Linked DNA regions of Schizosaccharomyces pombe. The protein of the gene in region 3 purifies or fractionates together with the protein of the main gene of each other region. This does not show direct contact. Each region holds a gene or a part of one and is shown on either strand. Other genes may lie near its edges.

Region 1 (2,766 bases), on a different chromosome or scaffold from region 3:
CTATTAGTTACGAAGCTCTGACTTTGCATATCCCATTCCAACGTAGATACTTTTGCATAGTCGGTAAGCATAATTAACAAATCACACCCATTACTTCCCTTTCCCTTCAAAGCCGATATTTCCGTTATAGTCCCGAAGACTTTAACTTGAGAAACGAGTCTAAGAACGTAGGTAGTTTGTTCATTGGTACGTATGAGATGCATATTTGTCTCCATGAACGCCTGACTTTCATCGATTATGCTGGTGGAGAATTCATTCTGCAAGGAATCATCTAATGGGAAACTGGATTCATCTTTTTGAATCTTTTCAATCTCAAAAAGGTGTAAAGAATTCACTTTACTTACCACTAGGTTATTAGATACAAGAGAAGTAAATTGGCCTTGGACAGCATTTTTTATAACTGTAGAGTCCACTAGGTCTTGAAATATGGTTGACATAAAGCAAATACCACATTAAATGTGCCTTTCAACTGGGACGTTGAGCTTCTGGAAAGGATGAGGTAGAGTAAGGAGTTGGACGCGTCCAAATACAGTGTACAAAATCTACAAGTAGGTTTTAAAAGCAATTCATTTTAAATAACTAGTAATTTACATAATAATAATACAATCCTTTTTACTTATGAAAAAGGAACCGCTTGACAAGGAAAGTCTGAAGCGTGTAATACCATAAGTCTTATTTGTTCAGGTTCGCGAACATAGGATCCGAGTGCCACAAGGACTTTCTTTTTATCCCTATTATTATTGTTCAGTAAGTAAAATAGCACATTACAATTACAGTAGTTGACATACTCTTTATGGCACCTTAGATACAAAAATTTTGATTGTCGATGCAAAAAATCAATAGGAATTGCAGACCCAAATATTCCAAATGACTGATTTAGAGCTAATGTGATGAGATGTCGTAAAGAAATATCGTCTATTTCATCTATAGGGGTAGTACCTCCAACCCTAAGTATGTCAGTGAAACAAATTATCCCAGACTTCCTTACACTTCAAGTATTATATATGACCATTCGCTTTTTAAACGTTGATGAAGTACCATGGCCTCTTTTTAACTCAAAAGGAAGGCAGATCGTGTCTGGTGAAAGTTGTATAGAGAAGTAAACTTCTGAGTAAGTACGATACCAACACGTTTAAGGATGCATTTGCTGCAGTTCCTGTGGAATCTACAAGCTCGTAATTATCATACTAAAATTATCGTACCATCACATAAACTGTTATGTGAAGGCTAATCTTCGAATAATTGAGGTACTGTTTAATTATGTTTCCTGTTTTCATGCCTGTAGAAAGCAAACAGCTGAACAAAATGAGGAAGCCTTCAATTCGAAGTGTAATATTAGAAAAATTTAATAACTTGAATTATTGCTATTTTTCATAATTTAATTTTGCTGGTTGATAAAATATATCCAGATACACAATTTACGAAATGCGGTCTTATAGCTAGCATGAGACAAAGACGGCAACTCGCGGAATTCTTCATATAAACTTTTCCGAGTCCGAGGTTCTAATAAATTCGTATGTTTGTATTAACTAAATTGAGACATAAACTATATTCCAGACTTGGTTAAAATCCCCTTATCTATTCATTTTGTCAAGATATCTATACCGATTGTAGCAAAATTTGATAAAAGCAATTTTCAAAATGTTTTACTGAGAATGCAATGAATCAGGGATTGTTCTTTCATAACTCCCCTCGTCTCGTGCACTTTAAAATTAACTGGTACTCCAGATTTTTATCAAGGCCTCCGCGCAAGAGAATATGTAAATGTTTCCCTTTACGAAACCAGCTTCTTTTTCCATTCCTGGTAAAGTTTTGTCATATATTCTAAAGCTTTCTCTTGCTCTGAAGGCAAAATTAATTCCACAGGAGTAGAGAGGACTCTTTCATGACCAAAACGAGTCACGGCTGCTCCCCACTTGATAGATTGATCTTCTTTGGTAGCATGTAAAGCAGTCCAAAGAAAAGCAAAAGCAGCAACGTATGGAGAAATTGTATGCCAAGGACTTCCAAGTAAGCGACAAATATAGAAACCGAGCTTTGCACACATAACCAATATAGGACCGAGGAAAGTTTCATACATGTTAGTAGTACATAGTCCGGGATGGACAAGGTATTGTTCAAAAGGGAGTCCCTTTTCAAGTTCTGCATAGTGTAACACATCTAACAAACGCTTTGAAGATTGATAGGGTTGCTCGCCGTGAAAACATTGTAGGTCTTCAAAATCAAGGGATTTTTTTTCTGCTACTAAACTGCTTGTAAGGACTACCTTTGTTGACGAACGGAGCACTTTTAGTTCGGCCAGGCGATTTTTCTTATGTAAATTAGTACTAACATACGGAATTAAGGTGAAAAAACTTACCAAATAAAAATGACCAAAAACATTACTTTCAAATATGTAACCGAGGGAGTCATTGCTCACACGTCCAGCAGTCTCTTTGTAAAAGGTTGGATGCGTCAGTGCCTGGATAGGGTTGATCAAAGTAGAAAAGATAGCCTTTAGCCATTGAATACCTTCCAGGTCCCAAGCACCAGCATTTAGGTAAACAAAATCTAATTTAGGGAATCTAGTAGCGATATCTTGCACCGCAGCTTCCACTGATGCCATATTCGACAAGTCTAACAAAACGTATTCCAACCGTATTTTCCTATCGGGAAAGAATTCTTTCAATCTTCTACAGGCATCTTCTGCCTTTTCACGACTCCTGCATGTAAGAATTACCGTGAATACTTCGGGTTCATCTTGCAAACGCGGTTGGTAGAACTGCA
Region 2 (4,097 bases), 1.6 Mb from region 3:
CAAAGGATTTAAGGAATGAGCACATATACAAGCAAGAGACCAACAGTACTTACAAATTCTATCAAGCGGACCAAGATAAATAGTATAGCAAGATAATATGTATTAAAATAACAATTATTAAGGAATTGAAATATAAACAATCCGTACAGTAACAATAATTAGTTTTTGTAATGATACATTGATGTTGGCAATCTGCAGACAAAGGATGCTATGTTAAAAATGGATATAATGAAGTATTTCGTAATTCTCTGTGTCATTAAATGGCGACAGTCTTTCCACTGAAGTAACACAGAACAAGCATATAAAACTACAACAAAATCATATCTAGTCGTTACATAAAATGGTTTATGCAAGTTTAGGTAAAGCAATCGAAGAAAACTGTCCAGAAGAATATGTGGAGCAGGCAATTCAAAATGATCCGAATTCTCTTAATGCGGTAGATGATGTATGTGAAACTAATAATTAATATTGTTATTCTATTGTGAATTCGAAAAAGAAAATGAATATGCATTGACAAGAATAACAAGTGTAACTAAGCTACTAAATGACTCATGTTGTTTTTACTAATCACAAATATTGTTAGGACAAACGTACACCTCTCCATTGGGCCTGCTCTGTTGGTAAAGTTAATACCATTTATTTCTTGTTAAAGCAACCCAATATCAAGCCGGACGAAAAAGATGAGGCAGGATGGACGCCTTTAATGATCTCTATAAATAATCGCTCAGTACCTGATAATGTAATAGAAGAACTAATAAACCGTTCCGACGTTGATCCAACCATAACGACTCGCGGTGGTCAAACATGTTTGCATTATGCCGCTGGAAAAGGTCGTCTTTCTATTGTTCAATTATTATGTGATAAGGCCCCAGAACTTATTAGGAAAAAGGATCTTCAAGGCCAAACACCATTGCATAGAGCCGCAGCTGTTGGAAAGATTCAAGTAGTCAAATACTTAATTTCTCAACGCGCACCCTTGAATACTTCGGATTCATATGGCTTCACACCATTGCATTTCGCATTAGCAGAAGGACATCCAGATGTTGGTGTCGAATTGGTGCGTGCTGGAGCTGATACTTTACGTAAGGATTCTGAAAACCATACTGCTTTGGAGGTTTGCCCTGATCGTATTGTTTGCAATGAATTTTTAGAAGCTTGCAAAGAGCAAAACCTTGAAATTTAGTTCCATATATTACGAGAAATTAATGTTCAAATAAGGTGAGGTTTTAAAACTCATAAGCGACTGCTTTAAATTATACAATTCTCTTAATTTCGTATTAATGACCTTAAAAAAAATGCATGGCGTTTGACGAAAATATAGAAAAGGTGGTTTTGTAGCTTCAATTATTGAAATGAAAATTACAACAAAAGAACCATTGTTAACTTATGTTCTCTTCGTTGTCTGAGTGATGTTTTATACTCAATAATTAAAATTATTACTTAAATAATTAACCTGGTATTTTTTTTACATGGATATATTTATTGTTTTCATTCTCTTTTTCGAAATATTATTTTTAAAATAAAAAAAATAAATAAAAAGGAATAGATAGATAAGCATTTTTAAAAGGAAAATGGTTTGTAAAAAAATATGTTTTTTATTAAATAATCTCGCTACAAGCCAATCTGAAGATGTCGGTATTATTTTCATCGATTTGAACTAATTTATGAATTACCGTCTGCATAACTTTTTCAATGATACTGAGTGAAATACAAAGAACGAATGAAAACATTTAATTATTTTCTTCAGTTCATTACTTCAATATACTTATAAGAGTCATAAATTATATACGAATAAATTTATTTACACTTGAAAAAATTGAAAATTGCCTAAATATAATTGACGATCTATATTGAATTTGATATTGTGCTTGTTGATCTGATATTTTCTAATACAGCTAAGATGAAGTAACAATGAGCTGATGGGTGTATCATCAAAGTCTCCCTGCTAATTCATGAACACTTGTCAGAAGCGCTGTGTCTTTTTTTATATGGAAAGAATAGTTTTGCGTTTCTTTCTGAAAAGTTTATGAATAAAAAGATACGATTAAAATGAACTGTGCTTTTACTAAAGAATTAAAGGACGAGATATATCAAAAAAATTATACTGAGCACGAAATTTTACAGAATGCATATAATGGAAAGGTATGTAGATCCGCTTATATCTTAATCCTAATAATAAAACTTAGTTAGATATTTTGTTGCCAGTAGAAGACGCCTCTGAAGAAGCAATTAGATCAATAACGAAAATAGTGCAAGATCTTAGTTTTTATGAATTCTCTGGCTCACCCGCTCTGCTGTTACATCCCGATTTATATTCAACGTTTATTCATACTGGTAAGAAACTTTCTAGGAACACTTTTTTGTAGCTAATTTTTTCAATATAGGAATTGCAACCATTGTTTCTTCATCCGATAATGATAATAAAATATGTATAAGTCAAGGTGAGTTATTTTACGGTACTGTTCGCTTTTCATATCTCTATAGGATATTATTACCCAGCCAAACAATTTCGGGTATCTTTAAGATTTTGAAATTTTTATTGCTTACAGTTAATAAGGTATTCTATCTGTCACTCTTGACAAAGATAGCTATTTGGTTAGTGGTATTGATGCAAAACCTTCTAGTTCTGAACCTAAGGACACTCTATGGGTAGCAAATATTGACTTAAAGTCTGCATTCTTAAGGCCTCAGTGGAAAGGCTTTGAAAGATTAAAAGCTGCTTTGGGTCGTCTTCCTGGAAAGTGGAGTTTTTATCTTACTTTTCCAACTGAGAAGGTTGATCAGTCTTACCAAAACAACTTGTCTCACTCGCTTCCTGTTCCCATGATTTCGCGAGAAATCAACCTAAAAAAAGGAAAACTAGACCAAGCAAAAATCCCACCGCCACTTGTATCAACTCTTAATAGAAATGAACTCTTTCCATCAAACGGTCCATTAGAGGTTTTGGAAATTCTTTCTTTTTTACGTTGTAATGCAAAATGTGTGCAAAATTCATTTGTTCCTGATCCTTACATTTCACGTTACAAACCATCTTGTGCTGTTACTGACGTTCTTTATCTTTCCATCAAAGGGTTGTTTTCTTCTTCTACTTGTTTAGAACTTTACGAGTTAATAAGGTAATAACTACTTATACGTTTTTAGATGCTAACAGTAAAGGAATATTTCTTGGAATTTTATAGGGGTTGAAAGCTTCAACTCTTTCCGTGACGTTGACAACTCAAGTCAATTACACTCTGGTGATAGTTCTTTGCTGAGTTTCTATGATTCCCGTACTGAGCGAATTCGTTGGACATGGAGATTGAGTTGAATTGTTTTGTCATCTAATGTGTTTTCTGCCAATAAAAATATAGACGTTTTGGAAACACGACCAGTTTAAAAAATATGAATTTATGTTATCTTATTCTATATTCCCAAGTAATTATATTTACATACATATTCCAAAAAATAAAGTCTAGTGTACACATCCTGAATATAATTCAGAAAAATAAGGAAAAAAACCGTATTGTAAGTACTAGTAAACGGGTTCCAGCATTCCTTCTATTATTATTTTAGGTAAAACAGTCAGATATCTTACGTTTCCATCAGTCGAATCAACTTCATCGCCTTGCCATCTCAATTTTTTAAGCAAAAAGTTAGATTCAAAAGCTTTAACGTCAGAAGAAGAAGTCCCCAAAGTTATATGAAGTTGAGGGTTGCAAGTTTTACCATACCAGACGCTGTTTTCATTCATAGTGACTCGAAAACAAATAACTCTATCATCCCATACAAGATGAGTTATCCTAAACGAAATATTCCCCATTTTAGTAGTATTTTTATCGTGCATATGCTGTAAGTATTGTTCCCAAATCCGACTATTTACCGGCTTCTGTGACTCGTGGATCATAGTAATATGAAAGGAATCTTGTAAGGTGTATCTGGAAAAAGCCTCCTGCCATTGCAAATTAGCTATCGTTAAGACTTGAACGAGAGAAGACTCCACTGTCTTCCTGTCAAGCAATACGCCAAAGTATCTTGGCGCTTTTTTAAAACAAGTAGATGAGCCGGTAATCCCTTCGGCTGTGATTTTATTCTTTATCTTTTTTGAGTCATTACCAAAA
Region 3 (3,366 bases):
GTTGAAAAATAAAATGAATATTTAATTTGTTCACGATGTGCGCATAAAAAACAAATAACCAGAATATATGCAGTGATAGTGTTGAAAAGTGTTTCAGTAGAACAGAAAACCCAATATTAATAAATTGAAGGTTTAATAGAATTAGAAGCTCAGAATAGGTTGAAAAGAATAAATACGTTATGGGGATGGCTTAGAATCGCTGCATATTCAAACTTGACAAGTAACGAAAAGAATAAATTAAAGCCCGCGAGCACTTCAAATGCACAGATAAATAAAAGATATGTACAAACAAAGAAAAAAAATATGTTTGATTCTATACAACAGGATGCCTTGATGCTGGATGAAATGCAGTAGAGACTCAAAGACCCAAATGGTGTTATGATGAATGACAGCGTTTTCGTATCATAGCGTAATGTTCTTAATAAAAATAGAGAGATTTTGCGAGACTGGTGTCAGAAATAGATGAAACAAAAAGCAAAAGTAAAGAAAAGAAAAAATCAATTGAAAATGGAAAGACTAATTGAGGTTTATTTATCCGAATATATCATCAATTTCGTCTCGTCCCTTTCTTGCACGTTTCTTTTTTTTCTTGACTGTGGAATTTGAGTTTTTGGATTTACGTTTGGTACCTTGAGAAACAGTTATAGGAGAAGAAGACAAGAAGAGAGATTCATCTTGATTCTTGAGAAAAGAATTAGGAGAGGATACAGTCAGTTTCTCATAACTAGTAGAAGCAGGATTTATAGACAATGAAATAGGTTCCGTAGCTAGCAATTCATCGCGAGCTACAACAGTCCCAGTGTCTATGTCATCTTGAGACTGTAATTCCAATTTTTTTTGCTCCTTTTGACTAAAGACTATTTCCGATTGTATTTTTGCTTCGTACTCTATTCCGCCCATAACAAACCAAACGCGAGCTAAGATACCCAGCAAAACTAACCCTAAGGCTGGATACTGACCATGGGCAATTAAGTTTGTAAAATAAAAGTACGATTTCGGCAATTGTTCTAAAATAGCAATTTTCGCTTTTTCATTTCCATCTAGCGACTGCTTTAGTCTTCGAAGCAGCATTCGTACGTGTCTCCACCAAACACTTAGTCGATGCTGATTTCTATTCCTATACACGATTTTTTGCAATAAAACTACATCGTATTGCAATTCCTGCATATCGTTGGACTAGACAAATAGGTCGTACAAACCACCCAACGAGTGAGCAATGTGAACACGAACACGAACGAAGAAAGTATGTATGTATGAACAGTATCCATTAAATACATTGATGGATGAAAAGAAATAAAGTGTTGCTCAAGTTCTCGTTAAATCAAAATTTGGACGTTAAAAATGAACTGTTCGTATTTGACTTTAACGATTTTTATCATTTTCAATTTCTCTCGATAAGTAATCTTAACGAAAATATATTAGCGAGTAAATCAAGATAATAAACGACACCTGGTTTACGGGAGTGGAAGAAGTAACAGTCGATCCGGGCATTCCGCGGAACGAAGTAGAAACATATGGAGAGCTCATAGACAAAAACAAAAACAAAAGGTACAAATCAATGAAAAGAAATACAAAGAGTTCTAATACTTAGCAATAAAATCCGCTACTGGTCGATGCATCCTTTAGAATCCTACATGATTTATTGTGTCCTTTTTTGTTTCCCATTTTTTAATATGCCTGTTTTAAGATTTTGTAGCATTTGGTACCTGCCATTCGATACCGCCATAATATACTCGTGTAGCAGATAATTTTCACTTTAAGAATCCTTCAAAAAGCACCACTACCGTCGGCTGTTTCTGGCTTCTTTTTCACGGCGTATCGATTCCGCAGTTCAAGACATAAACTGCGTTAATTTTCCTGTCAAATATCCTCCTTTTTGTCAATTAAGCCAGCAGTTTGCCATGAAAAGAAATTTGTAAAATTTGCTGATTGTCGGTACTAAATTTTCAATAGCGAAACTGATAAAAAGTCTAAACGCTATTTGTCCGCTTAGTGCGATTTAAAAATTAATTTTATCTTAATGATATATCATTGGCTCAGTTGAGAGCTTTTGATTTTTGATTGGTTCTCCCTTGTATTTAATCTATGTACGGTACCGATTATCTCTTGCATATCAAGTCGGTACTAGGGGGGACGATTGAGCTGATTAAAAACCTCGCACCGTTCCACGGCTTACCGTTTACCATTGTCTTGTACACACTATCAAACTTGACTTCTCTTCCCCTTATATAGTTAAAGACTTTGTTAATTGTAATTATTGGAAGCTTCATCCTAAGTATAACACAAAAAAGAAAAGATATTAGAAAGGCGAATATAGAGAATTTGAAATATTTTGCTTTTAAAAAATTAATAGTGAAGACAAGGTTAATTCTCAAATTATGAAGCGTTTTTTCTCCAAACTCTTCTCCAAATCCCCGACCTCTGGAAGAGTTCCTTCTCCCGACAGTGATTATTCTGAAGAGGAACAAAGATTACTAGCAGAAGAGAATGGGTACTTCCAGGATAGCAATGAGTATGTGGAGCCTAATATTCCAGCCGTCTACGGTTCTATGATTCCTGTAGCTCAGCAGTTACAGCAGCATCATGTTCATACACCTGGCGAGAGCTTCGCAGATAACGCATCGGGATACCCTGTTATAAAGCACGAGTTGTCAGAACTTTTGCGTCTTGGATCTCCCACCGTCATCGCTTATTTGTTACAATCCTCGGAACAATTTTCTACAGTCTTTACATTGGGACACTTGGGAAAGGAATACTTGGCAGCTTCGTCCCTTTCCACCATGACTGCTGCAATCAGTGCTTTCTCCATTTTCCAAGGTGTTATCTCCTCCTTAGATACCTTAGCCACTCAAGCCTTTGGCGCTAATAAACCCTACAATGTAGCCATCTACCTACAAAGATGTCTGCTTATTTTGGCTGTTTTACACATACCTGTAGCTTTGATTTGGCTTAATCTTGAACATATTCTAATCTTTCTTCACCAAGATCCTATGGTTGCTCATTTGTGTGGTCGTTATATGAGAGTGTTTATCTTGGCTGCGTAAGTACTTTATTAAAATTTGTCCGTTCTCTCTCCTCCTTTCACTAACTGTATTCTTTTAGACCTGGATATGCCGTTTTTGAGGCATTGAAGCGTTACTTGCAAGCTCAAGGCATATTTACCCCTATCACTTATGTATTATGCTTTGCTGCTCCTCTCAATATTCTTTTAAATTACCTTCTTGTATGGCATCCCACAATTGGATTTGGCTTTCTCGGTGCTCCAGTCGCCGTTGCTACTACTTTTTGGTTTCAAAGCATTTGTTTAATATTGTATATTTGTTTCTCCTCCACCCCTATCCCGTGGCCTGGTTTCTCTAGGCAGGC

The links.
Region 1: the proteins of rmp1 (region 3) and pop8 purify together in Schizosaccharomyces pombe (affinity purification with mass spectrometry, with the first as the bait; one study listed by BioGRID). This does not show direct contact.
Region 2: the proteins of rmp1 (region 3) and rpp40 purify together in Schizosaccharomyces pombe (affinity purification with mass spectrometry, with the first as the bait; one study listed by BioGRID). This does not show direct contact.

The regions. Positions count from the first base shown.
Region 1 is NC_003423.3:1,111,010-1,113,775, reverse strand, and holds pop8 (RNase P and RNase MRP subunit Pop8), read right to left. Parts: upstream 1,080-2,766; 5' UTR 1,042-1,079; coding exon 989-1,041; intron 948-988; coding exon 789-947; intron 732-788; coding exon 617-731; downstream 1-616. Other genes in the region: mRNA processing protein Cft1, read right to left, coding at 1-437; erg27 (3-keto sterol reductase), read right to left, coding at 1,775-2,311, 2,360-2,766.
Region 2 is NC_003424.3:2,337,835-2,341,931, forward strand, and holds rpp40 (Rnase P subunit), read left to right. Parts: upstream 1-1,962; 5' UTR 1,963-2,049; coding exon 2,050-2,142; intron 2,143-2,146; exon of another isoform or gene 2,147-2,186; coding exon 2,187-2,334; exon of another isoform or gene 2,335-2,384; coding exon 2,385-2,441; exon of another isoform or gene 2,442-2,493; intron 2,494-2,504; exon of another isoform or gene 2,505-2,557; coding exon 2,558-3,116; intron 3,117-3,156; coding exon 3,157-3,307; 3' UTR 3,308-3,470; downstream 3,471-4,097. Other genes in the region: nas6 (gankyrin), read left to right, coding at 341-445, 584-1,183.
Region 3 is NC_003424.3:3,918,877-3,922,242, reverse strand, and holds rmp1 (ribonuclease MRP complex subunit), read right to left. Parts: upstream 1,237-3,366; 5' UTR 1,168-1,236; coding exon 532-1,167; downstream 1-531. Other genes in the region: SPOM_SPAC323.07C (MatE family transporter), read left to right, coding at 2,379-3,040, 3,103-3,366.